Lytechinus pictus: one gene and its partners. The protein of the gene in region 4 purifies or fractionates together with the protein of the main gene of each other region. This does not show direct contact. Links are inferred from orthologs where the notes say so. Each region holds a gene or a part of one and is shown on either strand. Other genes may lie near its edges.

Evidence for each region.
Region 1: the proteins of casein kinase II subunit beta (region 4) and eukaryotic translation initiation factor 3 subunit J-like purify together in Homo sapiens (co-immunoprecipitation; 3 studies listed by BioGRID and IntAct, with this or other methods). This does not show direct contact. The link is inferred for Lytechinus pictus from reciprocal best matches to the Homo sapiens genes CSNK2B and EIF3J.
Region 2: the proteins of casein kinase II subunit beta (region 4) and FACT complex subunit SSRP1-like fractionate together in Homo sapiens (co-fractionation; 5 studies listed by BioGRID and IntAct, with this or other methods). This does not show direct contact. The link is inferred for Lytechinus pictus from reciprocal best matches to the Homo sapiens genes CSNK2B and SSRP1.
Region 3: the proteins of casein kinase II subunit beta (region 4) and cyclin-dependent kinase 11B-like purify together in Homo sapiens (co-immunoprecipitation; 3 studies listed by BioGRID and IntAct, with this or other methods). This does not show direct contact. The link is inferred for Lytechinus pictus from reciprocal best matches to the Homo sapiens genes CSNK2B and CDK11B.

Annotation. Positions count from the first base shown.
Region 1 is NC_087249.1:11,752,650-11,760,624, reverse strand, and holds the start of eukaryotic translation initiation factor 3 subunit J-like, read right to left. Parts: upstream 3,014-7,975; 5' UTR 2,945-3,013; coding exon 2,932-2,944; intron 2,812-2,931; coding exon 2,723-2,811; intron 1,402-2,722; coding exon 1,308-1,401; intron 650-1,307; coding exon 558-649; intron 1-557. UniProt on the Homo sapiens protein: Component of the eukaryotic translation initiation factor 3 (eIF-3) complex, which is required for several steps in the initiation of protein synthesis.
Region 2 is NC_087246.1:34,904,789-34,911,940, reverse strand, and holds the start of FACT complex subunit SSRP1-like, read left to right. Parts: upstream 1-4,142; 5' UTR 4,143-4,248; intron 4,249-7,152. UniProt on the Homo sapiens protein: Component of the FACT complex, a general chromatin factor that acts to reorganize nucleosomes. The FACT complex is involved in multiple processes that require DNA as a template such as mRNA elongation, DNA replication and DNA repair.
Region 3 is NC_087258.1:23,329,614-23,337,372, reverse strand, and holds the start of cyclin-dependent kinase 11B-like, read left to right. Parts: upstream 1-4,755; 5' UTR 4,756-4,850; intron 4,851-5,063; exon of another isoform or gene 5,064-5,183; intron 5,184-7,759. UniProt on the Homo sapiens protein: Plays multiple roles in cell cycle progression, cytokinesis and apoptosis. Involved in pre-mRNA splicing in a kinase activity-dependent manner. Isoform 7 may act as a negative regulator of normal cell cycle progression.
Region 4 is NC_087259.1:826,646-833,480, reverse strand, and holds the start of casein kinase II subunit beta, read left to right. Parts: upstream 1-3,813; 5' UTR 3,814-3,904; intron 3,905-6,321; exon of another isoform or gene 6,322-6,388; intron 6,389-6,835. UniProt on the Homo sapiens protein: Regulatory subunit of casein kinase II/CK2.

The DNA of each region.
Region 1 (7,975 bases), on a different chromosome or scaffold from region 4:
TTAAGTGCGACTTAAGTCATACTTAAATCTTTGTGAAACACCCCCCAGGGCATCCAACCAAATAACAGACCTAGGGGATATTGCAAAAAAAATATTTCCAAGTAATTGCTAATATTCTTTTGTAATTCACAAGTGATTTATCAATTTTAGCTGCAGCAAATCAGATTACACTGCTTGTTTCGAGACAGATTAGCAATCAATTACAAATTCGCTATTAATTTCAAAATTTAGGATTTAAGAAGCAGATTGCATATTTACAATTAATTGTAAGACATAGGATTATTTTAAGGACTGGAAATAGACTTGCAATTGATCACAAGTTTCGTGCAACGCCCCCATTGGCTGGTTAGATCATTTGAAAGACCCAGAGATGGTTGGACTAATCAGTAGTAGACCAAATAGGTATAGCCAAGATGGTGTTAGACAATCTGGGAATTAGACCATATAAGTCAATTGGTCAAGTGAATACAATCGTATACATTGGAGTTGGTAAAAAGAATTCAATCTGAATATGGCAGGAGATAAAGAGAGAGCGCGAGAATCCATGCAATATTTACCTTTTCAGCTTCCTTTAGCTTCTCTTTCCTCTTTTCAGCTTTCCTTTGCAATGCTTTTTCTAAATTGTTCTTCTTCTTTTTGACTTGAAATGCTGTGGAATATATAAATAACTCATTATAATCACTAACGACCATTGTGTGACCATAATAAACACAACATTCAAATTTCAAAATGTCTAAATCATCTTTCTTCCAAGTTATAAACTGCTGAAAAAAAAATACAATTATAATAACAATGCTTCAAGAGGGACAGCAAAATTCATTAACATCAAGAGCATTTTACCCTCAAATTACAAGATGTGGCAGTGAACTTAGTATCGAGAAATGAACTGGTTAAGACTTTGAAGAGATTGAAATTTGTATCATTATACCAAGCTCCCATTATATCTGCCAGACCAAGTGAAAATTTAGCAAAGATTGTTGTTTTCATTGTCAAAATTCACTGTCTGGTCCGATTTCAACAGTATAATAAGCTTTTGTTATAAAGATTAGAAATGAATGAATAATTTGACTATTAGCCAACAAGAGCAGAACTTCAACCAGTGCCATTTGCGACGGTGCAGCATAGAGCTTTAACCTCAGACTTATACCAAAAGCAATTGACAGCAGAAGCAAGTGTTCTAAAAGGCTTCATCCTTTACAAATTCGATATCTCCGCATTTCTCTATATTTTTTCTGATATCCTAAGTAGGATTTTTAACAATTTTGAGGATTGGTGGGATTATTGGCTGACATAGCCTGATAAGTTACCTCCTCCATCTCCAGAAGTCGCTGTCTGCTCTGTAGAACCTGCCTCCTTTTTCTCCTCTTTCTCCTCCTCCTCATCTGATGCAGCCCAGTCATCCTAGAAAACAAAAATAATAATCAGCTTCAATTTCTGTTCTTCCAAGACCAAGTTAGACCTCATTAGACACGATTACTATCCATGACTGAATTGTGCAACAACAACAAAAAATCAATAAATTTTCCATTACTTTTGGGGTTTTATTTTCTTGAATTTCATAAGTTGGTGCCTGTGGCAAAGAAGGCCAATCCTACAGCACTGACCTCATTGGTCGACAATGACGCATACACAGGGGGTACATTTTTAGAAAGTCAGCACCGCGTTTTTTTTTTTTTTACTGGTTTAAATAAATTCAATTCAATGAATTTCCAGTGATATTATAATTTTCTTTTAAGAAGAAACTTTGAGTAAACTTAGTCACTTTTTTAGATCTAGATTAGAATCTACTGTTTATCAGTAGAAGCGCACAGCCAATATGGGAGACTCTCCAATACGGGAGACAATCTCCTATATTGCAGACTTGCTTTGCAAAAGAACAAAACAACACCAACAAAAGCATAATTTTTTCCACCCAAAATTTTGTCTCACTGAGGTCAGAATCAAAGCCCGTTTGTTTTGTGTGTGGATGACAACAAAAATCCTTATTAAAACAAAATTAGACTGAATTTTTAAAGTAGTGGGTGAAAAGGGGTAATTTTTCATGAGGAACATTTTTATTTGCCACAAACGCAACGTAATCCTTTGGCAGCAAATGTAAACGAAGGAAATTGGTCTCCCAGACTCTAAAATTGGATTCTCAAATTCTTTACAAAAGTCTCTGATATTGGAGATAATCTCTCTCGTGGGAGATAGTCTCCCATAATTGGCCGTGCCCGTGCGCCTCTACTGTTTATTGCAGTCTCGATATTGCAAATTATATCCAACTCCAAGCCAAGCCAGCTTAATCTATTAGTCTACTATTTACTAAAAGTACGAAGTCTAACTCTAAGTTAAACCTAAAATTTTGGTTAGGGCCTAACGTTAAACATCTGTGGATTTTGTACAAGTCAATGGTGCTTGAATTTGAAATTCTGGCTAACATTGTCATTATAATACTCTCGACTCTGCAGCTTTTCTCCCCAAAAAAATTCATGACTTTTTTCAACCTTTTATTTTGAGGTCCCAAAAATGTATAAAAAAAGGATAAAACTAAAAGATCATATACATATAAACATACAATTAAACTAATCAAATTGGCGTAGTGATGTGATTCTATATATAAGTAAAAGAAATAAAATTAAAGCCACTGAGTGACACTGTTTCAAACTCGCCACTAAAATAAAATGCACTCCGACACATACACAACACAAGTCAAAAGGAGTGGGGCTAAGCAAAATCTCACCTTCACATCTTCTTCCTCATCCTCTCCTTCCCATTTATCACCGGCAGTCGCCTTGGCGAAACCCGCATCAGGATCAAAATCGTCGTCCTCTGATTAAAAAAGAATCATAAGATAAATGTAAGAAATAAATGTACTATTTTGCACTGGAATTACTCAAATCAATATTTCACTATAATTTTCTGACATATGTCACTGCACATGTTACTCACCCCAGTCGGCCATATTTACATATTGGGCGGGTGCGAGGCTAGCTAGCTGCGAGCGCGCTATAATGCGAGCTTACGCGCGTGAATGCGATGGGTGCGATGACTTGCCTGAGAGCAATTTGTGTGGGCCGGGAGAAACTCCCCCCCCCCCCCCCCCCGCAGGGGCGGATTTGATCTACCATTTTCCAATATAGAGGGGGTGCTAACAAAATGTACATTTTCCCTCTCGATTGCTTGTAAAGCTAAAATCTGAGGGCATTATTCATAAAGACTGTAATTGAATACATTACGCCTAACGTTACCGAATTAGGTCGTGGCGGGTCGTACTAAAGAAAATAATGTGAGCGCGAAGTGCGAGCTGAATTTTATGTTTTTTCATGAACTTAGACTTTAGACTTTTGTAACCATTGGCAGGATACGAGCAAGAATTTATATATCTTTACTTATTTATTTATATTTATTTAAGTTATAAAAGCCAATAAACTCAACTTTCAAAATAATGTTACCAACAGGGTTGGGCTCAATCACAATATAATTGATCAATTAGGTAATTAATTACATTTTTTTTAAATTGTATTTGAAATTTTGAAAGGGAAAGTGATTGAAAAAAATGTAATTGACTTGAAATACTGTCATTACTTTTAATTACATTCAATTACTTGACAATAAACTTATTCAATTTATTATTTGATTTCATGTATGACATTTTTCATGTCAACTTTTTTTCAGCATCAAAGAGTGTAATAGGCAGAATCTGTGCTCTTTAACATAAACCTTCATCTTGTCAGTTTCTCTGTAACTTATAAAGTATGTTGAAATAGGTGGTGCTAGTAGTACATACAGAGTACAAATTGATTTTATTCATGACTTTTATAGAAAGTAATTGAAATTGTAAATGTAATTGACAAAAGTAATTGCTGATTGTAAGTGAAAACTAATTGAACATTATTTTCTACAATTACCCAATTGTAATTGTAATTGAAGAAAGATGAGCCAAACCCTGGATACAAAATAATTGGAAAACTATTCCTACTTAGGGTGAGCATTGCCCATTTAACAAAGGGTATATGACTAAGGCTGAGCAGGAATTACATGTTTCTTTCAGTTTTTGAGAGGCAATTCCTTAGCGGGGTCCTTTGGAAATTGCAGTTGAGGGTGTTGTGATTGAGACCAGGGGGGGGGGGCCACTTCCATTGACGAGTGGATACCATGCGCGACCACGGGGTCTTGAAAAGCACACTAAACACGTATTTTCCATATTCTGAAAATGCACCCCTTAACAAGTATTGGAAACAAAACGATACTATTAGCAAGTATTCCCTGAAATCATGGACCTATTCGTAATAGGTCCATGCTGAAATGAACCCCTAAACAAGTACATAGATATTTTATTGTTATATGTCACGCGTCCGTCGGTCGTCGGTTTTACCTTTAGACACCATAATTTTGGTTTAGTACGGCCCCACCTTCCACACCTCGCGCAAATCGGACTCTAAACACGTAGTGTTGGGGCAAAAATGACATCCTTTATAGAACATTTTGATTTTGTTTTATCATCCCCGCATATTTGACCCTAAACACGTATATTTTTCCGAGCGAAATAGATACCCTTTTTTCAATATTTTTGTGTTTTTGACACCCTTATCACGTTACGTACGTAACGTGCCCTATCTTGAAAAAGACACCCTTTTTGCGTGTTTTTTTGGTCGCGCATGGTATCCACTCGTCAATGTAAGTGCCCCCCCCCCCCCCCCGGGGGATTGAGATCAGTTTAATTTTCACCTTGCACGAGTTAATATGAATTGCAATCTTTGGTGTAGGATTTTTTTTATTTATATCTCAGCGCATGTAATAAAGGGGGAAATAGTACTTACTGAGTCGGGGGGTGGAGTAGGTTGATGGGATAAGAATATTTAGTAACCCAAAAAGAAACAAAGAATGGGAAAGTGAAAGAAGAAAAAGGGGGAAGGGGTACACATGGTTTTTCATTATTTTTTTTTTTTCATACAAAAATTTTGCTTCCGCGCGGGAAAATTACGAAATCGCTTTTTCCATTTTTTTTCTGCACGCCTTTTCTGCCGGCGGTTTATTGTGTACGACTCGTGAATTGGCCAGAAAGTATAACGGCCTCTAATCCAACCTTCAGCTGACACGGTTTTCTTGTCAGGATGCCACCGTGCCTGACCGTCAGTTGCGTTCGTTTGGTCAAAGTATATGACCGTTGCTGATGGTTTATGGAAAAGACTGATTAACAACCATCACCAACCGTCGTCTCTGGTTTCTCCAGTCAGATCATCCGTCGATTGCAATCGATCACCTCTCTCGTCTCATTTCAGTCAATCGGACATCCGTCGACCATTCAGTCACCAACATTCGTTCCGTACACCAATCATTTGTTCCTTTATAAGGCTGCGTTTATGCGACCTCAAGCCAGAATCATGATTTGAATCATGATTCAAAACAAAAACATGAATCACAATATCACAGAATCAGCGTTTAGACGACCTTCATTCCAATGCTGTTTCTCCTCAGATTCGGGCCAATCCAGTGCGCATCACTAGTGCGCAGTTTGACAGAGGAAGTTTTTCGCACGTGTTTTTGCTCTCGAAAAATCTTTTGCTTCCAGAATTCAGTCTATACCTCATTTTGTTTACTTCTATCATATAGGGTCCATATGTTTCTATTCATCTCGTTAGTTTATCCAAAATGGTGTTTGGAAGTGAATTTCAGCGTAGATCCAATTTAATATTGATACTGTATACTCAACAACAACTGAGATCATTGTCTGTCCAGTTAATTCATTTACTAGAACTTGAAGTTGAAGACATGACCAAAAAATGAAAAGTAGTGGACGATGCGATGACCAACACAGAACTTGAACATGACAAGAAATGCATGCGTAGTACGTAATCATGTACATACAATGAGCATATAGAGCGCCTTGAGCTTGGCAAGAGTCAAACCGAAAGTAGCCCGACACAACAGTGAGGTCATAGAATCATGATTGTAATCACGATATCGTTTATTCGAACATTTTCGTACGTGATTCTGCAGAAACGTCTTTCCAAACGCCCCTTTTATCGTGTTTCATGTTTGTGATTCTAATCATGATTATATTCAATTTCGACTAAACGCAATCGTGATTCTGCAGAATCATGATTTGAATCATGATTCAGATCATGATTCTAGGGTAAAAAAGTGGCGGATAAACGCACCCTAACACTCATAAGAACGTAGTCTAGAGTGTAGGTTCAATGCTTGATATCTTTACCTTTAATTTCTCAAAGATAAATCATTGTACAGAGCAAAATGATATACAAGAGATGAAGGGCAGCATTTGCACTACGGTAAAGGGCCGTAACACAAATCGTCCTTAATGCTCATCGACTCCTCGTATTTATGCATTTTTTAACACTTCGATAAAACAGTTACTAAAGATGACTTCAACAACTACAATAACCTAATTAACTTTGCTAATCAACCAGCTTTCTCGAATAAAACAACTGGATAATGCTTAGGCAACTTTGCTAATAATAAATTAATCAAAAGGTTTCATGACAACTCCAACATGTTTATAAAATGTGCGATTTTTGCTAATTTTCGTTAAATCATAGAACGTCTACACATACGATTTCCACATAGTCTACGTTTACAGACCCTATAAGCTCTCTATGACATTAAATCGGAAACATAGTTCGTTACACGACTCCCTCCTCTCTCGAGCTTGGTCCCCAAGCTAATTAATAACAAACTGTCAACTACTAAACAGAAGGTAACGAAAAACTCCAAAACAACATAATTTCAACTTTAAGTTTCGAAACACAATAAAGACTTTGTCATATAGTTTCTTGTAACAGGTAATTCAGTACAACTGTTTTTATACAATGCAAAGCAACACTGAAATTATGCATTGATTAAAGTCCACAAAAGTCAATATTTTTGACGTCCGGTATCCGTAAAAAAACTTGAAGATTGCAATTGAGTTCATTATCATGTATCCTTCAGAACTGGTAACTTAGTCCTGGTTAAAGTTGTAGGAAACTCATGTCACAAAATAATCCCGCAGGTATGTAGCAGGTCGTCTGTCACGGGAGGGATACCGTCTGGCTGAAGTTTCTTTTTCAGGTGTGGTTTCTCCTGTAGCAGTGGGTAATTGTTCATTAGTTGTACCCCCTGCTGTTGCTCCATCTGTTGCGTCTGCTGGACTGTTGTCTGGTGGCTCTCCAGGTACATCGTCATTGGGTGGATTGTCTCCTGAGGAGCTTTCCAAAGTGTGGTCGTCCGCCGAAGCTTCATGTGGTTCACCTGCAAGGGTATCATCTGCGGCATGGCTTCTGTCTGGTGGATCTCCAGGCACATCAACATCTGGCATAACGTCTTCTGGGGAACTTTCAGTATCATGGTCAGTTGTTAACGTGTCATCTTCTGGTCTATCAGATGCGTCTTCACCTGCTGGCGTCTGGTCTGGTGGGTCGGTTGTGTCATGCCTGTTGGCACTACTTGGCGAACTTTGTCCTGATTCTTCATCCGCTGAATTCTCCGGGACCAAGTCTTCTCCAGCGGGTCTGAATTCCCAAGTGGGAAGCCTTACGCCTTGATAGGGCTTCAGCCTGTCAATGTGTACGACCAGTGGTTTAGACCTCCGTGACTGTTGAATCCTAACTGTGACATCTGACAGGCGAGTAACAACTAGGTAAGGGCCAAGCCATCGTGGTTGCAGTTTCGGGCAGCGGCCCTTTTCTCTGGTTTTCTTTCGTAGCCATACAAATTGTCCCACAGCATAAAGAGCTGTATGCACCTTCCTGTCGTAGAACGACTTCTGCCGACGACTCGCTGTCTTCAAGGATTCTCTTGCTACCTTGTGAGCTCTTTCTAGACGATTCCGGAGCCTGGCACTGTAGTCTGTCTGGTCATCATATTCGGCGGTCTCGGGAGGAGGGAGATCCCAGTCCATAGGCATGGTTGTTTCTCGCCCTAACATTAACATGTTGGGTGTTTCACCGGTTGATCCCTGGGGGCAACATCTATAAGCACATGTAGCGAAGGG
Region 2 (7,152 bases), on a different chromosome or scaffold from region 4:
ACTTTTATCTTACTAATGGTGTGAAATATGAAAAGCTTCTAACAAATTATACTCAAATATTCAAATCATATATTTTCTGAAATGGTTTCTTTCCAAAGGTAATGAAAACTTTCAGTAAAGTTTTAGTTAGATTTAGCTCTTGATCAAAATCAAGTAATATCATAATTATTATCAAGCAGAAATTTTAAATTTTTTTGCCGAAATAGCAGACACAAAACTTCTCTTAAAAAGTCACCAATGGTGAGTCCTGAAGTAATACTTGGAGATATTACACCTCTAATTATTTCTAAGAGGCCTAATATTGTTTTAAATTGGCTTGGAGAACCAATGAATTTGAATTAGAGTCCTATTCCCATAGCTGACCCTTGTCCATTAACCCATGTCTACCCATCATAATCCTACTCTTAACAGTGCAGCAAGTCCTTCACTTGCTTTGATTGATTTATTTCTGTTTCTTTGACTTCATTTTTTATTGTTTTCCAACAAAATACAATTATTTTGACATTGTAGCATGAGCAGGAGGGAAAAAGATCTGAGGTGAAGAGTGATATTCAGGGGTGGATCCAGTGTCACTTATGCTCCCCCCCCCCCCCCCTCTTGACCTCTTTTTAGGGGTACTTTTGACTCTTTTTGTACACCACTAAGAATGTATTTGGAGTCATCATTTTCTTATAGAAATAAAAACAAAAATCAGTGAGGAATTTGCAGGAGACTGCTATTGTTAACTTCAATGTATGGTGATCTCCTATATAAAAATATTCAGGTGGCATCTTCTTGACTATTCATAACTGATGATCTCTAGATTGATGCATGTGTATGTGAAAGAGACAACTACTGTGAATTTGTGTAAGGGAATTTGAGTATTAGGTGTAGATCATATTTTTTTAAGACATGGCTTTCAGGGAGTATATGTGTAAGTAGATACATTGGTGAATCCATTGTCTGGGGGCACAGGTCCCTAGAGAAAAAATCTGAAATTTAGACAAAGTACAAAAAAAAAGTGTGTGAACATAATTTGTTGGGCCATGATTTTGAAGTTGAAATTGACATTGCCTCTGTTGACAGAAAGTTTATTCAATTTAAACCAGCTTGATACATTAACAATTCCAGCATTCAAAATTTGTAATGAACGAGGATCTTTGTGAAATTAGAAGATATTCAAATTATCAGAACCAAAAAAAAGTGAAGCTCCGTAATGTCATTAGATGAGGAATAAAAGTGGTCCTAAAATGGGGCCCTTTGGCACACTGCATTGGGGGTAGAAGAGAGTCTGAACTAGGTCCATGTGATATTGTCCATTTGATGAGTATAGACATAATCTAGAGAGCAAAGTAAACTGTTGTGATGGGTTGTTATGAAATGCCTTGTTCAAGTAGAAGAATATTCCAATTATGTGTCCTTCATTTAAAGTGACAGCTCTAATTTTATCATTTTTATTTGAAATTATGTTCTGTTGAATCATTTTTTTTCTTGAAAATATGTTTATTCAAATAAGTATATTATAACAATGAATATACAGTGTGCTAAAAAGTTAGTGAACCCCAACAGAAATTGAACATATATTATAGTGTTCAGTTTTGCCATGTTTTAGACATTTACTTGTGAAGTCAGTTGATAAAATATTACATTCAGTAAAGTTTGTTTCTCTGGACTCTCGGGATAATGTAGTGCAGTCTACATTCAACACTCAGCATGAAAGAGTGCATTTTCTGGTGGGGTTCACTAACTTTTTGACACCACTGTATTGCATTTAAGTTTATTGTAGACCATTATTGATCAGAATTTTGGACAATGGGAAGTAAAGAAATGTACAGTTTTGATTAGTCATCCTTTTTTTAAATGGCCTTGACTCTATCAAGTTATTTTGAGATAGATCTGGTTGGCACCATGAAATAAAGAGTGGTTAGAAATATTGGTTACAGTTATATCAAGCAGGTAAATTATTTCTTTTGTGACCAAAAACTTGTAAAATCTGAATTAGTTTGTTATTTCACTTGCAATACTTGTTATATGTTATTAATTATTGTCAGATTTATGGCATATATATGTATTTTGTAAATACAGTCATATTTTTTGTATTGATATCAATAAACCTTTTGTTATCAAAGGATTCTTGAATTTGTTTCTCTTGTGTGTTATTCTACCTACAAGGAACTTTTTCTTGTAACATAAATAATTGAACTTTATGACATTTTATAATTTTGCTAGATTCACAAAACAGATATATTACAAATGAGGGAATCAATGACGTCCTGAGTGACCCACTCACTATTTGTTTCTTTTGTATTAAATCTGAAATATTTTAATGTTTTCCCCATTGCGATGTGAAATAACTGAAGGTTTGATTCCTCCCTGGACATGTGGAATTGCAAGTTTTGCAATCTTTTGAAGACTTTCTCATGTGTCAAATCCGCAAAGCTTTTTAAAAAGATAACTAGGTTCATAAAATACAAAAGAAAATAATACTATGTGACATTATTGGTTCTGTCATTTGGATAACATGCCAAAATAAGCAGAAAATTTTAAAATTTTGTGACTTTCATTTTGTAATCCGTTTTTGATAAAAATTTTATGAATTTCTGGTTGTTGGATTTTTTTCAGAATCTATTTCAAATCAACTTTTGGTGACATGATTGCGATGGACATGACCTTTAATTTATCCTTTCCACTGATAGTCCTTTTATTATGCATGTTTGAAAATCTATTAACAATCTGGGATAATGAATCTGGACTTGCGGTCTGGTATGCTCGTTGAGAAGATGAAAAAAAGATCATAAAAAGATTATATTATTTAATACAATCATGTGGATAAATGCTGCCAGGCAATTAGTCAAGCCTCTTGTGTTAGACACAGATTTTTAAACCTGATATAAACGACGTTTGAAGTTAAATTATAATATGAGCCAGGAAGTCCCCCCCCCCCCCCCGCCCTTGCCCTTCTAAGTTGCAATTTTTAGAATATACTCCAAAGCATTGCAAACTAAGTGATTAAAAAGGGGTAGGATATAGTAAATTTTGGCTAGCGTGATGTGAATTAATAAAAATAATATTGAAGAAGCATTATCTGGAATTAAAATATACCATTCATAATTCCTTTTCTGTTTTACTGCTACCCCCTGATATTTTCTTCATGTTCTCTTATAATTTAATATAAATTATTATCCTTTTCTTTTTCAAATTCTCATTTTCCTTCTTTCTTTATATACCTGTAATCACCCACTAGTCATCTACTCAACCCATTTCTTACTTTACTCTCTGTTCTGGTTGATTCTCCTGTATACCTTCCCCCCTCCTTTCTCTTTTCCTCCTTATTATATTTTCCTTATTCTTTGGGTTTTTTCCCCTCCCACCCCACCCCCTTGCCTTCTCTTTCTCCTCATCCTCTTAATATTTTCTCCCATCTTCCCCATTCTCTTTCTTTTCCTCCTTTCTCGTACTTTTCTTTTTTTTTCTTCTCCTCCACCTTTTTCTCCTTTCCTGTACTTGGGACTTTTCCATTCTTTTCTTCTTCTTCTCATCCTTATTCTTCTTCCTCCTTTCTTTACTTTTCTTTGCTGTCCTTTAGACCCCTTTTAACGCCTGTCCTGCCGTTCCTGTAAGCATATCTTTTTCATTGACCAACCTGTTCTCCCCATTCCTATAAAGCGCCTCTTCCTAGCCGCCATTACGATTGGCGGCGGAAGCCAAAAAAATTAGGGGGGACGCAGGAAACAAAATTAACAAGGCCCCCCCCCCAAAAAAAAAAAAAAGTTATCAACCAAAAATTTTAGGGGGAACCACCTAAATTTTTTGACAAAAAAAAAAGTTATCAACAAAAGATTTAGGGGGACCGTCCCCCACCTCAAATTTAGGGGGAAAGGACCCCCCCCCCCCCCCCGCTTCCGCCGCCTATGGCCATCACTCCCAATCCTTCCAAGTTTCCAAGCACCTCCAATCATCACATTGATTTTGTAAAAAGGTATAATCTTTTGAAAAGAAAAAGAGAAATATGAAGCAACCAAACTTGGGCTTACGTAAATAGGGGATTTAAATCTGGTAGAAATATCGAGATGGGGACCAAATTGATTGGACTCCGTGTCCCGACTCGTGTGTAAAGTCGATCGACTCGAGTCAACGATTCGGGATTTCCCCTTTACCCCGGCACGACTAGAGAGGGCGACAATGACTTTCGCGCATGTTCCAATTTTTCCCGCGACATGATTAGGTTACTGTTCTGCAAATGCATGACATATTAGTAGGCGGCAAGTAGTAAGAATTCCAAAAATTTTCTGTAGAATCTGATTTTTTGTGCTTATCCCCCTATTTTTAGGGTGCTGAATACGAATCTGCTTGTTGCCAAATTTATAAATGCCGTCTTGGACCGTTGCCATGGCAACGGATTAATTTCTCAAAAATTGCATGTATCCCCCTGTAAATGGTAGATAAACATGATATAAATTAGCCAATAGATTGATTTCAGGGTTCCAATTAAATACAAATGAAATTCGAAAATATTTAAGATCATCAAATTGGTTCCAATTGGCCCGTTGCCATGGTAACTGCTCATTTTTCCTCCAGAAAAGTAAAAATTTTGATTTACAGTTGTAGAATCTGTTTTTTTTTTCATTTTCCCGGCGTTTAGGGTGTTAAACATAGGAGTGGTTTTTGCTTAATGTATAAATACACTCTCATTCCATTGCCATGGCAACCAAATAATACCTAATTTGGTAAAAAAAGAAATAACATGGTAAAAAAAAACAATGGCGAGAAATACAATAAAGGCGACCTACATGTAATCTACATGCATTGGATTTTTCCCACTCATTTAGAATAAAAACTACATAAGTGTTATGCATGAGTTTATTGGAATGGTAGGAATTGATGTTGCCTTGAGAATGCTTGAATTTAAAGATAAATATCAATATTGCAAATGGCCCGTTGCCATGGTAACATCTTATTTTTATCAGAAAAGAACACATTTTGATAAAAACATATAGAGTCACATTTTTTTCGTTCATTTCCGCTAAGTTTAGGTTGCTAAAAATAAATATGCTTGTTGGTAAATATGTAAGTACCATCTCAGACCATTGCCATGGCAACCAAATACCAACTTATTTGGTAAAAAATAACATGTTGAAAAAGGTAATGGTGGGATGTACAGTAAAAACGAACTAATCTACATGACCAAAACCAAAATTACGTAATTATTCTGCATGAATTCATTAGAATGATAAAAATTGATGTTTCCTTGGGAACGCTTGATTTTATTAATAAATATCAATGTTGCAAATTGCCTATTGTCATGGTAACGGCTCAGACCAGAAAAGTTTTAATAAAAATATGTAGAGTCCGATTTTTCTTTCATTTCCGCCAAAGTATACACGTAGGTTGCTAAACATTGATATTATTGTTGCTGCTGCTTTGGTAGTGTATAAAATAATTTAATTTTATATGATAAATATCAATGTTGCAAATGGCCTGATGCCGTGGTAAACATCACTCCTCGCAAAGTTCCCTTCTGCAGACTTTCAACCTGAAGAAAGTAAACTGAGCAGTTTGCCATAGATCTGGATACATATCTTCAGAACCTCCCTGCACTCCCTACTCATTACGACACATTTTTAGAGCTGCTGAAGAAATCATCAAGGAAGAATATTCCACAAGAATGCCGTACAAGCTATATTCAGGACCGGCAGAAACACCATGCAGATTCGGATCCTTGGGAAAGACTCTACAAAGTCCCAATCTAGGTCCCAAGTTACCGCCGGCCAAGTGGCCACCAGCTTCTAGTGAACAACCAAGGTAACCCTCATAATCACCCGCGAAGATCCAACCTAAAAGTGTGCGGACAGCCTGCCAAGAGTCATCTGAGTTCACAAGACCTTTCAGCATGAACGACTTGTGCAATGCTATCAAGCAATGAAGATCAGCAAGGCAGCTGGATTGGATGATGTCCTCGATCTGTGAGCAGATGAAACATCTTGGACCTGTTGCAATCCAACGGCTGCTTGACATGCTAAACTTCTGTCTGAGTGAAAGCACAATGCCAAACTTATGGAGGAAATCAAGGGTAGTTGCCTTACTCAAGCCAGGCAAAAGACCAGCCATTGCAAAGAGCTACCGGCCCATATCTCTGCTTTGTCACACATACAAGATCTTTGAAAGGCTCCTACTCAACCACATTGCTCCCTTGGTGAATGAGCTCCTCATTCCAGAACAGGCAGGATTTAGGCCGGAAAGTCCTGTACTAGTCAACTGCTGAATCTGGCACAGTGCATTGAAGATGGTGGCTTCGAGAAAGGGTTGATAACTGGAGCAGCCTTTGTTGACCTCATTGCAGCTTATGACACAATCATCGAATACTCACAAGGTAAGTCTTTGAGATGACAAAGGAAGGCTTTAGCTAACACAGATGATTCAGAGCATGCTCTCAAATCAGCAGTTTTTGTGCATCTCAGTGGTTTCAGTAGCAGATGGCTGACACAGAAAAGGTCTCCCACAAGGAAGAATCATCGTCCCACTCTTTAGCATCTACACAAATGACCAACCAATCCACCAAATAGTGAGAGCTACCTGTACGCTGATGACATTTGCATTGCTTCACAGAAACAGTCCTCTGAAGAGATGAAAAAGCACTCAGCAATGCTCTGGTAGGCATGACTCCTTACTACGCTGCAAATCATCTCTGGGAAAATCCAGAAAAAACCCAACTCAGTGCTTTTCACCTAAAAAACAGAGATGCAGACCAATAACTAAGGTTCAGATGGTATAGAAAATGGTTGGAACACACCAGTAAGCCAATCTACCTTGACGTCACCCTAGACAGTTCCCTTACCTACAAAGACCATGTTTCCAAGACAAAGGCTAAAGTTGGAGCAAGGAACAGCATCCTGAAGAAGCTTGCCAACATAAAATGGGAACAGATGCCAAAACCATCCGTGCGACAGCTCTTGCTCTATGCTACTAGACTGCTGAGTATGCAGTCCCCATCCGTTTTAGGTCATCACATGCTGCAAAGATTGATACAGCCCTGAATGCTGCTTGCAGAGCAATTACTGGCTGCGACAAAACAAGAGCAGATGATCTCTACCTACTGTGTGGTATTGCCCATTCACACATCAGAAGATAGGTGTCAGCAAAGGTGGAAAAACGAGCAAGAAGATCACCCTCTTC
Region 3 (7,759 bases), on a different chromosome or scaffold from region 4:
ATCATTCTTAATCAAAATAAAACATTATTTTGGGACGAGATGACCTTACTTTTGGAATAATAACCTTTTTTTTTTATTGTCAAATTTTCCAACCCCTTGTCCCCATAGGCGGATCCAGGGGCCCGGACCCCCCCCCTATATTGCTTGAAATAAAGCTGAAATTGACTCTTTTTTTCAGATCGGAATATCAACGTTTCATGATTAAAGATGTATTTAGAATGCCTAGATTATAGGTCTAAATAAGAAACACGCGCGCATGTTTATATTTAAATCATTATCCAGTTTCACTAAAAAAAAATCACAAAAAAAAAAATTCTGCTCGCGCTTTGTGCTCGCATAATTATTGTAGGAAGACCCCCTATACTCATCCTTTTCATGATTTACAAAACATCAACAGAGTGGCCCATTTTTAGGTCTAAATCTCGATTTTTTTTTTGCTCGCACTTCGCGCTCGCAATAATTGTTAGATGATATAGCTATCCTGTTCACGACTACAAAAATTGATTAAAATTTTCCATTCTTTCTTTAGAAATTTCAAAAATTTTCAGCTCGCGCTTCGCGCTCGCATTTTTTGATTGTTAAAATATGTAATGCCTTCATGGCTAAGTGCAAGCAGTCCTTAAAGGTCAAGTCCACCTCTGAAAAATGTTGATTTGAATAAATAGAGAAAAATCAGACAAGCACAATGCTGAAAATTTCATCAAAATCGGATGTAAAATAAGAAAGTTATGACATTTCAAAGTTTCACTTATTTTTAACAAAATAGTTATATGAACGAGCCAGTTACATCCAAATGAGAGAGTCGGTGATGTCATTCACTCACTATATCTTTTGTTTTTTATTGTTTGAATTATACAATATTTCAATTTTTACGAATTTGATGATTAGGACCTCCCTGCCTGAAGCACAAAATATTAAAATAATGGAATTCCACGTGTTCAGGGAGGAATGAAACTTCATTTCACATGACAATGATGAGAAAATCAAAATATTTGATATAAAATACAAAAGAAATAGTGAGTGAGTGATGTCATCAGTTCCCTCACTGATTTGCATACCGACCGATATGTGCATATAACTGTACGTTTTCAACCGCGTAGCCAGGATTTCATTTTGGAGGGGGCGGTAAATGCACGCGAAGCGTGCCAACACTTACAGAGCGCGCGAAGCGCGCTCCCTAGGGGGTGGGTGCAGGGAGGGGGAGTTTCCCCCTCTCGCGCGAAGCGCGAAGCTTTTGGTGTTTCATAAATTAAAATGAAAAGGAACCGTCTCTCTTGTCTCTAGTACCTATATCAGCTCCAATTCAGTTGACTTTATTGTGATTTTGAACTTGTTTTTAAAAGTGATTGTGAACGCACAAAAAGGAATACAATGGAGGAAATTAAAATCATTATAACCCCGCGCGAAGCGCGGAAGCTAAAGCGTTTTATCAAATTTTTTTGCCATGAAAAGGGTCCCGAGAAAAGGGTATTCTCAAAGATATATTGAATACTTCCTTGGAAATATCAGATTTGATTACAAACAATTTAGCGACAGTGCATATCTTTAACTCGCAAAACAGAGGAGAAGAAGTGTATATGCCGGGAGGAAGATATTCCTCCCCGCGCAGAGCAATAAAACTCTGAAATTTCAAAGGGCGGACGTTTCATCAAATGCAGATATATCTAATACCCCATCGGCTCTAATTCAATTGATTTCCTAAGATTATTGAACTTCATTACAAGGAAAATAGTGCGCAAAAAGTTGAAACTTCTGTGATTTATTAAAATAATATAAAAAAGGATGCCTAATTTCTTTGACTTATCCTGAAGCGCTTCATTTTTAATTATAAAGAAACCTAAGTGTCATTCAAAATTTCAAACTGAGGGCGCAAAACAGGACAGGAGATGAATGTGCAGGGAAATAACATGAAGATTAATAGAATTTGAAAAAAAATATTGTACTTTTTTATTTAATACGACACGAATTTTATACATTCCTCTTCAATTAGGAACCTGTTTGCCCCAAATTATGGTTGTTTAGTAATGACCTGAAAAGCGGGAGAAGTTGACTTTACGGCAGAAATTGATATAAAGATTTTACCCGCCCGGAGCCGACCCGACCAGAAGTTGCGCGATCAATAAAAAAAAAGATAACTTCATATACTTCGGCCTAACCTTACTCTAATTCCATGCCCTAATCTATACATTTGAACTTTAACTGGCAAGAAACACATATAGCTGAGGTGGAAAAGCAGAGTTAGAGAAAGGGTGGGGGAAACAATGGAGAACTTCAATATTGTCATTTAACCGCGCGCAGCGCGGAAGCAAAATTCATATATAAATTTAAAGCAAGAGTGAAGGAGTTTCTCTTTTGAGAAAAAAAATAAAGAATAAAAAGAAAAAAAAACCGACAAAGCTACCTTTCTTCCCTTTCCTCCCTTCCCTTTTCCTTTTTTTCCTCTTTTTCCCTTTTTTTTCTTTTTGGGGACGTTTTTTTTTGGGGGGGCGACCGCCCCCACCGCCCCCCCCTGGCTACGCGCCTGACTGTTTTGTGAAATGAAGCGAAACTTTAAAATGTCATAACTTTCTTATTTTACATCCGATTTTGATGAAATTTTCAGTGTTATGCTTGTTGAATTTTTATCTTTTTATTCAAATCAAGTTTTTGTTGGGGTGGAATTGTCCTTTAACAGGTACTTTTTCAACAGGTACCAGTTCAAAACGTATAAAAAAAATTTCTGCTCGCGCATTGCGCTTGCATCATTAATACTAATCCTTTTCATGATTTACAAAACATGAATAGAGTGTCCCGTTAAGTAAATAGTATAGCTAGGACTAAATCTCGAAATTTTCCGCTCGCGCTTTGCGCTCGCATCAATTGTCTACTTATATCACTATTCTACTCGAGTTACAAAAAGTGCTTAGAATTTCCATTCTTTAGGTGAAAATGTAAAAAAAAATTCAGCTCGCGCTTCGCGCTCGCATTATTAGATTATTAAATGCTAAATGCAAGCAATCTTTAACTGGTATATTTTCCATCAGTTCATTTCTGCTCGCGCTTTGCGTTCGTAGTAATTATTTAGTTGCATACACATCTTTTTCAGGATAACAAACATTGCCCAGAATGTTCAAATTTTAGGAAAAATACATAAAATTTCAACAACAACAAAATTAGCTCGCGCTTCGCGCTCGCATCATATGAATAAGGATTATGATATTGTAAATTAATTTATAAGAATAAAGCTAAGAGGTGAATAATGAGGACTACCCCTTCAAAGACACAAACAAAAATCATCTTCGAGCTGCCGATCGGGGAAAAATATGGCTGAAACAAATTTCCGCCCCCCTATTGGCGAAGGCTGGATCCGCACCTGCGTCCCCCTATACCTTTTGGGAGAGATTTCCGCCCCTGTCATCATCATCATCGTTGTATGACATCGTTGCTTGAATTGGATCATAAAGAAATGATGAGAATCGGGGAATGCTTTCCCGCTTTGCAGGGGCCTGCATGGGAATTATAAGACTAAAGTTCACCCTGATTTGCTTGAAAAGAAAGAAAGAAACCCAAAAAAGAAAGATAGGCCTATATAGATAGAAAGAAAAAAATAAAGATAGAAAAAGAAAGATAGAAAAAGAAAAAAAAGGAAGGAAGGAAGGAGGAAGGAAGGAAGGAAGGAAGGAAGGAAGGAAGGAAGAAAGAAAGAAAGCCGAGGTTCATTTCACCCGAAAAGGATTATTTTGTCTGGGGGAAAAAAAAAAGTTTACTAACTGAGATCGAAGAAAAAGGGTTTTAGATCATAACTTTACATTTTAGCCGACCAAGCTAATTTCCAAGGGGTGCTGCGTTTGATGTGTAACACCTTTTAGTATATCCGCTTGCAGCAATACCATAAAATCATAGTTCTTGAGGTCAGCCAGTAATAGGCCCTACTATCTCACAGGGGCGGATCCAGGAGTTTTCAAAGGGGCCGGGGGGGGGCACATTTTCCCTCAAATTAAAAAAAGTTAAACAAAATAAAGGTATTCACTGTCAAATGGGGGGGGGGGCACATCTTTTTAACGGCAATTTTACATTAAAAATCCCTCTCAAGGAGGGGGGGGGGTGAATTGCCCCCTGGATCCGCCAGTGATATACGGTTTTTCAAATCCAAACATAAAGGATTACAACGGGGATTACAATAATGTAATGCACAATTTTTTTTTACAAATTATCGAACATAAGTTACAATGATAAGTTAACATTTCTAACAATAAACAGAGTCACAAATTAAACAAAACCAAAACAAAAGGAGAAACATGACAAAACAAATCAAATGCAGGAAACTTCAACTACATGCTGTCAGAAACCGTTTCATCAGATAATATAACGAGGATGATATTTATTAGCAATGTGGAACACGGGGGGGGGGGCTTCTTTTTTTTGGAGCAAGAAAAGAAAATGACCCTTTTATTAGATTGAAAGTCATTGATTAATCAATGACTTTTATGCACATTCAAATAATTCGGGCTATAAGTAAATAAAATTATTTTTCTCTGATAAATTTTTCCAGTGGTCGTGGAACTTTTTGGAGATGATAAAAAACATCTGTTTATTGCCCACTCCGCTTATTCGTAATATCTACATCTAATTTGAACTTTCGGAAGCCAGTTGTGCATGCACCCCCCTCCCCGAGATAACGGATTAATTCCGCCCCAGGAACAGATTTAGGCATCCTCACGATCACAGAACCTTATCCGCCAATTTACATTTTTTTTTGCTACACTCTCGAACAATAGATGGCGCTTTATCACGAGATTCATCAATCAATCGAATCGTTTTCTCTTGTTGCGTTGCTGTCCCTTATTGGCTTTGCTGTCGCGTACGCTTGGGTAAGATCTTTGATTTGATTTGATTTTAAAAATGTAGGAAGACCTAGGTTGATATGACTATTTCACAATAAGTTATGTTGTGATTACTGATGATTGTGAAAGAAAAGACCGTGGCTTTTTTTTTAAATTAAAAACACTCAACCGACACTGAAATTGAATTGATGGGACCAGAGGCATGAGAGGCAGGACTGATGCACTCACACAGTCACAGTCACTCTAGGCGACACCCCAATACTTACCCGTGCTAATAAACTGGGACTCCACTCACGCGCGTTTGGGCCTCCCTAGCTTAGAACTAAGCACTAATATCACCTTAAAAACTAAATCTACAAGGTATGTATAATCTATTTACAAATTTAATAATGTTTAATCGGTACTCACCGGTTCTTTTGTTGCATTTTCAGACCATTTCTCACAATTCTTCGTAAATATTTGCGGCAAATTTTGTCGCCATAGACAGCTTAGCGTCCATCTTTATTGATAAATGGAGCGCCCTTTACGATAGTTGTTAATGCCGCGGAGAAATCGTTAGGCATTTTGGCCTGTGTTCAAGGCGTTCTTTCTGTTTTATTTTTTATATTGAAGATTGTGCATTTGTTGAATAGCGCCGTCTACGTCAGGTATGAGATCGAGTGTATAAATACACTCTTCCAAAATAATTATGATTCCGACCTGGCGCTGTTTAACTTCAATCTCTTTCACCTAAATTAGCGATGAATGCTAGCATTATAAAATATATATTATTAACGTCTGACGAAAAGAATAACCAACCGATCAGCTGACGAGAACGCGAATCACGTGATCTTCATATCAGCTTCGATCGCGAGTCAGAAGAAAAGAGCAGCTGCCCAGAAAATCAGGAAAAAGCCGTGAAAATGTAAGTTCCCCTTCATTTCTTTCATTTTTTGTTGTTGCTAACGATGCATTTACACTATAAAATTATAATTTAAATAAGAGAAAGGAATTATAGCTTGTACTTGTGATATAATGTTTAAATATCCTGTTCTCAGAGATTTCTAACCAAAAATACTACTGATGTCGCCTATGAGGTCCATACATGTAATGTTGGACCTCATTGGTACTAGGAGTGGTCACAGTCACACACGTATTGCGACTTGCGAGGTTACTAACCTCGCACCATGAACCGCGTTTGGCAGTGGATTTCTAACTAGTGGGTCGGGCGTGCTGAGCCTGGGACGGTGGGACCCCACTTCATAGACCCGTAACACAAAGCTTAGCAATGATCGTAGACGTAGAACATTTTCCTACGATTGATTCCATCGACTACAATGTCAATCACTCAATGTATCTGGGGAGGCGCGATAGCTCAGTCGGTAGAGCGGGGGTTTCGGATTCCGGTGACCCGGGTTCGATTCCCAAGTGGTGCGCTAGTGCCCTTTGGTAAGGCATTTATCCTCATTACCAGGTCCCTCGGAGAGGACCTTAAGCCGTTGGTCCACTGGTTGCTTGCTCACAGGCATTCGTGCTTTCTTAGCAGTCAGGTATAACCTCGGTATAACTAGGGACTACAACATAACATAATCATATTCGTAAAATTAAAATCAAGTGTACGATCAATCGCTAACTGAAAGTTTTGTGTTTCGGGCCGGGGGGGGGGGGGGCACTCGACCAAAAAAGTGGTAGGGGTGTGCCGCGGGCGAGACAAAAAACGGGGGCCTTGGAGCGGGCTTATTGTAAAAAGGAGGGTCCTCGGAACGGGCTTCGGAACTACAAATGTTTGTGAAAACGGGGGTCCTTGGAACGGATCGCCAGCGTGTGAGTGCGTATGCATCCCTGTGGAACGGGCATGCGTGCATGATGCAGCTAGCACGGCCTCCGCCGGGTGCGCTTGCGCAGAGGCGATGGTCGGACAGCGCTCTGCGGCCGCTTTTCACCAAAATTGCAGCTCCTTGTAGCAGATCAATGCGACGGGAACGGCGTAACGAAAAATATGCGAAGCTTTGGAGCGGATTTCTTTCTTCTTTTTTCTCAATAAGAAGAAAATGCTATGCTTTGGAGCGGCTTTCTTTGTTCTTTTTCTCAAGAAGACAAAAATGCTATGCCTTGGAACGGAAATTTGAGTGTAAAAATGGGGGTCCCCTCTGCGGCACATACCCACTATGCATTATATAGGCCTACTGAGTGCCCCCCCCCCGGGTTACGGGACCCTGGTGTCCACCACACACGACAACTATAGCTTGATTTTTCTGTGCGCGGCGGCATGTAATGAACCCTTGGGTGGGACTGATAAGCTGAGCTTAACGTTAGAAATATATTTCTTGGGAAAAAACCTCAGCCAGTCATTTTCAGATTGAAAAAAAAAATGGTGCCCCATGTCTGCGCACCCATTCACTTCACTGTTCACACACGATTCAGGGATTTTGGCAAGAGTTCCATATCATATCAGTACAGTAGAGGCGCTGGTCCAAAAATTGGGATTGTCCCAGAAAACAAAGATATCCTCATTAACCAGGAGAAATCATGTCTTGATAAACTGAGATTGTCCTTGTTTATGGGGACAGTTTTTTTTTCACTTACGCCTGCGGGACATAGACGGCAAGTACGGGGATGGAGAGGGCTAAAATTAGATTCAGTGACCTCAGTTCCCTCCAGTTCACCGTCTATTTTTCACGACTTGCCGTCTTCCAATCTTGTAATGAAACCTGATATGTTTACATTGACTAGCGCACTCAATTGATGTTGGCACTCGACCACTCACAAGTTTTGCGAGGTTAGTATTAGTATACTAACACTCGACAGGTGAATGAACTTTCATAGATTTCTTGTGTGGAGAAATCTTTGAGGTAAGAGTTCCATATGCACATGCACCTAGCCTGGAGGCTCCTGGAGAGTAAAAATAAGTCTACTACATGTATACGTAGGCTTACTCCCCTGGAGCCTGGAATTGC
Region 4 (6,835 bases):
TCATGTCATATATTTTTTTCATTCATCTCATTTCGCTGCCTCCTTTATTTTCTTTTATTTCCCCTTGGCTGTGGAACCACCCCCGGTACGCAAGTGCTTCAATGTAAAGCTTAATGCAGGAAGGGTCCATATATGGGCCCGTTATAGAACCCATTAAAGGTTACAGATGAAGAGCCCCCACTGCACGGGGTCTTGAGTCTTGGACAGAGCCTTTGGAGATTTAGCAAGTTTATGATAGACTTTCATACGACATTATGCTATATACCATTCATTTTTCTTCCCGCTCGTTATCTCAATCCTCGGCAGCCCGGTAGTGTACGTTATCTTGTCCCTATTCTTTATTTTCCAATTTAGATTTTGGCTAATTCCATTCTGCCTTTATTTCCCGCTTTTGTTTGCCTTTTTGTCATCTTTAATTTATTTCCCTGTCTTACTAATCATGCTAATGTATTTGTATATCGGGGCGAATTGTTTTTTCTCACTTGTTCTTTTTTCCTTCCTTTTCCCGTTATCTTTCCGTTTTCCCTTTTTCATGTTTTTTCTTAGTTTTCTTTTCCCTTTCCCTTTCCTCCTTTCCTTTTCCTTCCCCTTTCTTTCTCCCTCCTTTTTTTCTTTTTCCCGTTTTTCTTTTATTTTCCCGGTGAAATCCGCCAGGGGGGGGGGGGGGGGGCAACTTGTCATAATTTACTTACCCACTTGCCAATTTGAAATCTACATATAAAGTCTCAGGGATCTTAATTTTAAAGCAGCCATAACTTTATTTTTGCTTGTCCGATTTCTTTCAAACTTTCACCATTCTCTCTATTTTTATAATCCTTGTCATTAACCGAACATTTCATAACCAAGGCTGGATTCCCCTTTAACATTGAATATGAATCTTTACCCAAAATGAATATTTGTGCCAACTTTTATGAGCACGGGCTGAAAACTGAGAAGTAGTTTAATCTACAATGTGGTAAACATGGCAACACACTGTCTGACAAATGCAAAAAAAAAGAAGGTTCTTGCAAATCTTTACCCCAAGGCCAATGTGTGAGCAAATTTCATGAGAATTAATTGGTTCAAAACTGACGAAGTTCAAATCGCAAGGTTTTTACCAACTTTTTGCCATATAATGTGTTGTTACCATGGCAACAAGATTTCTGAAAGACACAAAAAATGTGTCTTAGACATCTTCACCTCAAGACCAATGTGTGTACCAAATTTCATGAGAATCGGTTGAAAACAGAGGAAGTATAGTTCTAACTGCAAGATTTTTTTACCTTATTTTATCATAATACACTGTTACCATGGCAACACAATTTCCAACACATGCAAAAAATGTGTCTTGTATACGTCTTTACCCCAAGACCAAAATATGTACATACACAGCACCAACATTTAACCCCCTCCACCACCCTAAGCTTCAGCTTGTTTATGCATCTGCATTCAGACACTTGGTGCATTGATATGTCAATTCACCACCTCATTATTTGCGCTATGATTACAATGATATTTCTTAAAGAATTATTTTTGTCTGCTTCAATATACAGTGCATATATCTCTTCCCCCTCTTTTCTCCTCTGTTTAGTTGGACCTTACCTCCAGAACAGTTATATTAAGGCTGCGTTTATGCGACCTCAAGTCAGAATCATGATTTGAATCATGATCTGAATCATGATTCAAAACACAAACATGAATCACAATATCACAGAATCAGCGTTTAGACGACCTTCATTCCAATGCTGTTTCTCCTCAGATTCGGGCCAATCCAGTGCGCATCACACTAGTGCGCAGTTTGACAGAGGAAGTTTTTCGCACGTGTTTCGGCTCTCGAAAAATCTTTTGCTTCCAGAATTCAGTCTATACCTCATTTTGTTTATTTCTATCATATACTTTATAGGTTCCATATGCTTCTATTCATCTTGTTAGTTTTTCCAAAATGGTGTTCGGAAGTGAATTTCAGCGTAGATCCAATTAATGTTGATACTGTATACTCAACAACAATTGAGATCATTGTCTGTCCAGTTAATTCATTTTCTAGAACTTGAAGTTGAAGACATGACCAAAAAATGAAAAGTAGTGGACGATGCGATGACCAACACAGAACTTGAACATGACAAGAAATGCATGCGTAGTACATAATCATACAATGAGCATATAAGAGCGCCTTGAGCTTGGCAAGAGTCAAATCGAAAGTAGCCCGACACAACAGTGAGGTCATAGAATCATGATTGTAATCACGATATCGTTTATTCGAACATTTTCGTACGTGATTCTGCAGAAACGTCTTTCCAAATGCCCCTTTTTTCGTGTTTCATGTTTGTGATTCTAATCATGATTATATTCAATTTCGACTAAACGCAATCGTGATTCTGCAGAATCATGATTTGAATCATGATTCAGATCATGATTCTAGGGTAAAAAAAGTGGCGGATAAACGCATCCTAAATTAATTTTTGCCATTACACTTTTCCTGTAATTTGATATGCTTGCCATATTACTTAAATAATTACATGTACTTTGTATATTTCATTCTATGATGTGCATCCAACAATTGTGTTTGCTTTATTGTAATTTGATTCAATTATCTGTCAGTAAGGATTTAGTATATAGTTAAATCTTTTTTCTTTTTTTTCAATTAATATTTCAGAATAATGCTCAAAAGTAGTACAGGCTGATCCTTTATATCCATTTGGTACAGTTGATTTTTTTAAATTCCTCTTTAGCAAAACTGCTGGGGCACATAAAAACCTAAGAATCTCGATATCATTACTATATTTTTTTAATTATTATTATTACTACGCAGTTCTTAATTTCTCTACTTTTTCTTCATCAAAGGAGGCGAGTTTCCTGTAATTTTACTATTTGTTGTCTCTATGATTGTTATGTATTAGGTGCTGGAGCCTGGCGAGTAGGCCTACGTCATTAATAGGAATGTGGAGGCATGCTAGCTCTTGCTGTTGTCTAGGGTATTCCTCCTTATTACATTTCATTGTTGCTTTTCGGGCTCTGGTACCTCACACAAATTTAAGTTATTTTTGTGTTTTTTATGTTAAGCATTACACACATTCCTTAATCAGTCCGGCATGGGTATTCAAATTCTTCCCAATACCCCTCTTTATTTCTTTTATCTTGCCTGGCGTTACATACTTTTTAAAATGATGTTGTCAATGTGTTTTATTTGAATTTTAATAATGTGCAATTTTATATATTGAATGTGCAATACTCTCTCAACGGTTTTTCCATGAGGGCTCGCATGCCTCTGGGCAATAAATAGTACTGAATTTTACTTTTGCGAGCCCTGGCCCATGGAAAAACCGTTTTCTTACTCTTTTCTTCTTCTCTTTCATTTCTACTTTATCCATATTTCATTATTCAATTTCAAATTGTATTTATGTAACTACATTGTACAATTTTTGTATGTTTTTTATGGCCAAATAAATAATAATAATAATAACAAACAGAATATTTAAACATAATATCTGTTAAAAAAAGGTTTGAATTTTAGAACTAAGCGGATGCAAAATAATGCACTGCTATTGAGTTTTACACTGACACTAGTCTTTATATTAGAACACTTTAAACTCATAAATTCTGACATTTTCACCCATATTTTTCACTAAACAGTTCCTGCAGCCAGATTTTTTGGAGCATACTCTATTTTTAATTCTTATCCATAAACAAAGGTCTGGAGAAAAAACATGCTTTTGTCTACCATGTCATTTGGCCCCGTGGGAGCAAATAAGAGCATATTACTAGTATATACTTCCGGATATATTACCGGTATGCATGCAGCATATGATCGATCGATCGCGCGCGCGCGCGCGCAGCGCAGAAACAGATATAAATGCAAGACGTTTGCTGCATGGCGGATGTATCGCTACTCTCCCATCAAGGAATTCATTATTTATAAAGGTTAAAGGTACGGCATGTTAACAAGTTTATTGAGATTGACACTGGTTCTACATGTAGCCCATTATTATTAATGAAGTTGTGAAGTAAAGACCGGAAAATCTTCCGGAGAAATCCTTCATTTCCGTACCTGATCATGCTGATGTGATGTGATGTGATACCGTAACTCATATTTTTGGACAGTGCTTAGCCTTAACGTACGCGGTACGGTACCGGTTCGTACGGTACGGTACGGTAGTCGGTACCTCTCTCTAATACATAGTACCGGTACGGTAGGTGATCCAAGCCAGGAGGCTTAAGTTCTAGAGAGTAAAAATCATTTACTGACGTAGGCTTACTCTCAATGAAGCCAGGTTCTCATTCACCTACACGAAGGACCCCAAAACCTAAAACTTTTACCCCCGAGATTTCTACTTTCCTTCTAGTTCTAATAGTACCGTAATAGGGCCTACTATAGTATAGGCCTACTTAGTAATGCCAATGGATCTAGCCCTAAGGCTAAATCATGATGTACCGTAGCCGTAGGCGTAGGCCTTTACTGCGGCAGCCCGAAAACGTAGGACGTCGTGTCGAGGTTCCCGGGGCAACGTAGGCCTATGCCTGTGCCTGTGGCAGTGAGTCCAAACAGTAGAGGCGCACGGCCAATATGGGAGACTCTCCAATACTAAAAATAGGGGAGACAATCTCCCACATTGACATTGGAGACTTGCTTTGCAAAAGGACAAAAGAAACAACACCAACAAAAGCATGATTTTTTCCACCCAAAATTTTGTGTCACTGAGGTCAGAAGCCCATTTGTTTTGTGTGTGATTGACAACAAAAATCCTTATCAAAACAAAATTAGACGGTGAAATTTTAAAGTAGACGGTGAAAAGGAGTAATTTTTTATGAGGAATCTGCAACACACCAGTGTGTTGGCTCAGTTGGTAGAGCGTCCGTCTCACAACCGGGAGGTCGAGGGTTCAAACCCTGGCCGCGTCAGACCAAAAGACGTAAAAAGATGGGAGTTGCTGCTACCCTGTTTGGCGTTCAACGAGTAAAGGGAAAGAGCCTCGTCGATCTGGCGCTGCACAGCGGCTGCCGGGCCCACGATCAATTGGGCAAAGCAAATTTTCAGAGCATTTCATGTCATGTCTATTTTCGAACAATAAATTATGGATTTTCATTTCATTTCATTTTTTTTCTTATCACATTTTTATTTGCCGCCAAGGTAATCCTTTTGGAGCAAATGTAAACAAAGGAAATTGGTCTCCAAAACTGGAGACTGTCTCTGAAATTGGATACCCAAATTCTTTACAAAAGTCTCTGATATTGGAGATAATCTCCCACATTAGAGACAGTCTCCAATATTGGCTGTGCGCCTCTACTGCCAAACTTCGCGCGTGTCCATACTTCGCGGACGGTCATTATCTAAAAAACTAGCCAATATCCTTAAAATCTGACGTAATCAACGTGAAAAGCGACCTAAAATTACCCTTTGGTGTAAGTTTCTTTAGGATGAGTTCAGTATTCATGAAAATATTGGCAAAAGATCGGCAAATTTGTCACCGTTAGCGCCCACTTTGAAGAAATCTGATATTCTCAACAAGCATCACGATATCACCATTTTGCAAGCAGAAATCATCAAAAATGTGAGTTAAATGTGGTACTAACCGATTCTATAGCATTTTGCCATCAATCTGATATAAATATTTCACTTTTTGAGCTTGAGTTTTTGTTTAAATGTCCACAAAGACTTTGGTCCACGAAATTAGGTCACACTTTTTCTGAACGGTTTTCCAGCACAGCGCGCATTCGCCGATCGGAATAGAATTTTGAGATCGCGATACCGGCGAATCCCCTTGACCTACTTTACATTTTCATCCATGATTTTATCTTGCCGTCAATGTGGTTACTATTTCTTGAATTGGTTTTGTATAAATTATGAATATTTTGTGAAAACATTTAAGCCTGATGAATATTTTTGAAAAGTGCGCGAAGTATAAGTTTGGACACCCCATCATACATAGGATAAAAACTTCATTTCCGACATTTCTACGCTTGTTATTTTTAAACAAGAATCCATCAAAAAAATGAGAAAAATATTGTGAAAAGACGGAAGAGACTTGCGTAATGTTGGCGAAGAACAATAGGAAACAAGATGGCGGCGTAAACATCGGGCAAGTCTCTTCCGTCTTTTCACAATATTTTTCTCATTTTTTTGATGAATTCTTGTTTAAAAATAAAGAGAGCGTAGAAATGTCGGAAATGAAGTTTTTATCCCATGTACATGATTTAGGGCTAGATCTTTTATTTTTTTTAGAAGGAAAGTAGAAATCTCGGGGGTGAAAGTTTCAGGTTTTGGGGTCCTTCGTGTAGGTGAATGAGAAGGAAGACCTGGCTTCATTGAGAGTAAGCCTACGTTAGTAAATGATTTTTACTCTCTAGAAGCCTCCTGGCTAGGTGATCCCTCCATTGGAGATTCTCAGAGACAAATAGATCAATTCCCAGTCCGGTAAGTTAGAGATTCAACATCAAGTTGGAGCGGTGGTCATGAATTTTATGTACATTCGTACTGCAGCTGCACTGCACTGGCAGTGCATGTGCAGAATATCGAACCGGTCTAGTCATCATGTATTGTAATACCGGACAGTCATGGACAGTAGTACCGTAATCATGTCAGTGCTCGGCCTCGGACAGGTAAAGGTTTTTGATGACTTCGTAGTCTCCTTGAACCTTGAAGAAGTATGATGGGGTGACCATAATTTGCGCACATTTTAGAAATCATCATGAAGTTGATTTTCATTCAAAAATTTCTCACAGCTCACACAAAATTAATCAAAATCATGAATACCAAACGGAAGGCAAGATCCTAAAGTCAAATTTGCTTGACGGAATTATAAAGTAGGACAAGGGTTTCGCTGGTATTGTGATTTCACAATTCCACGGCGATCGACTAGTG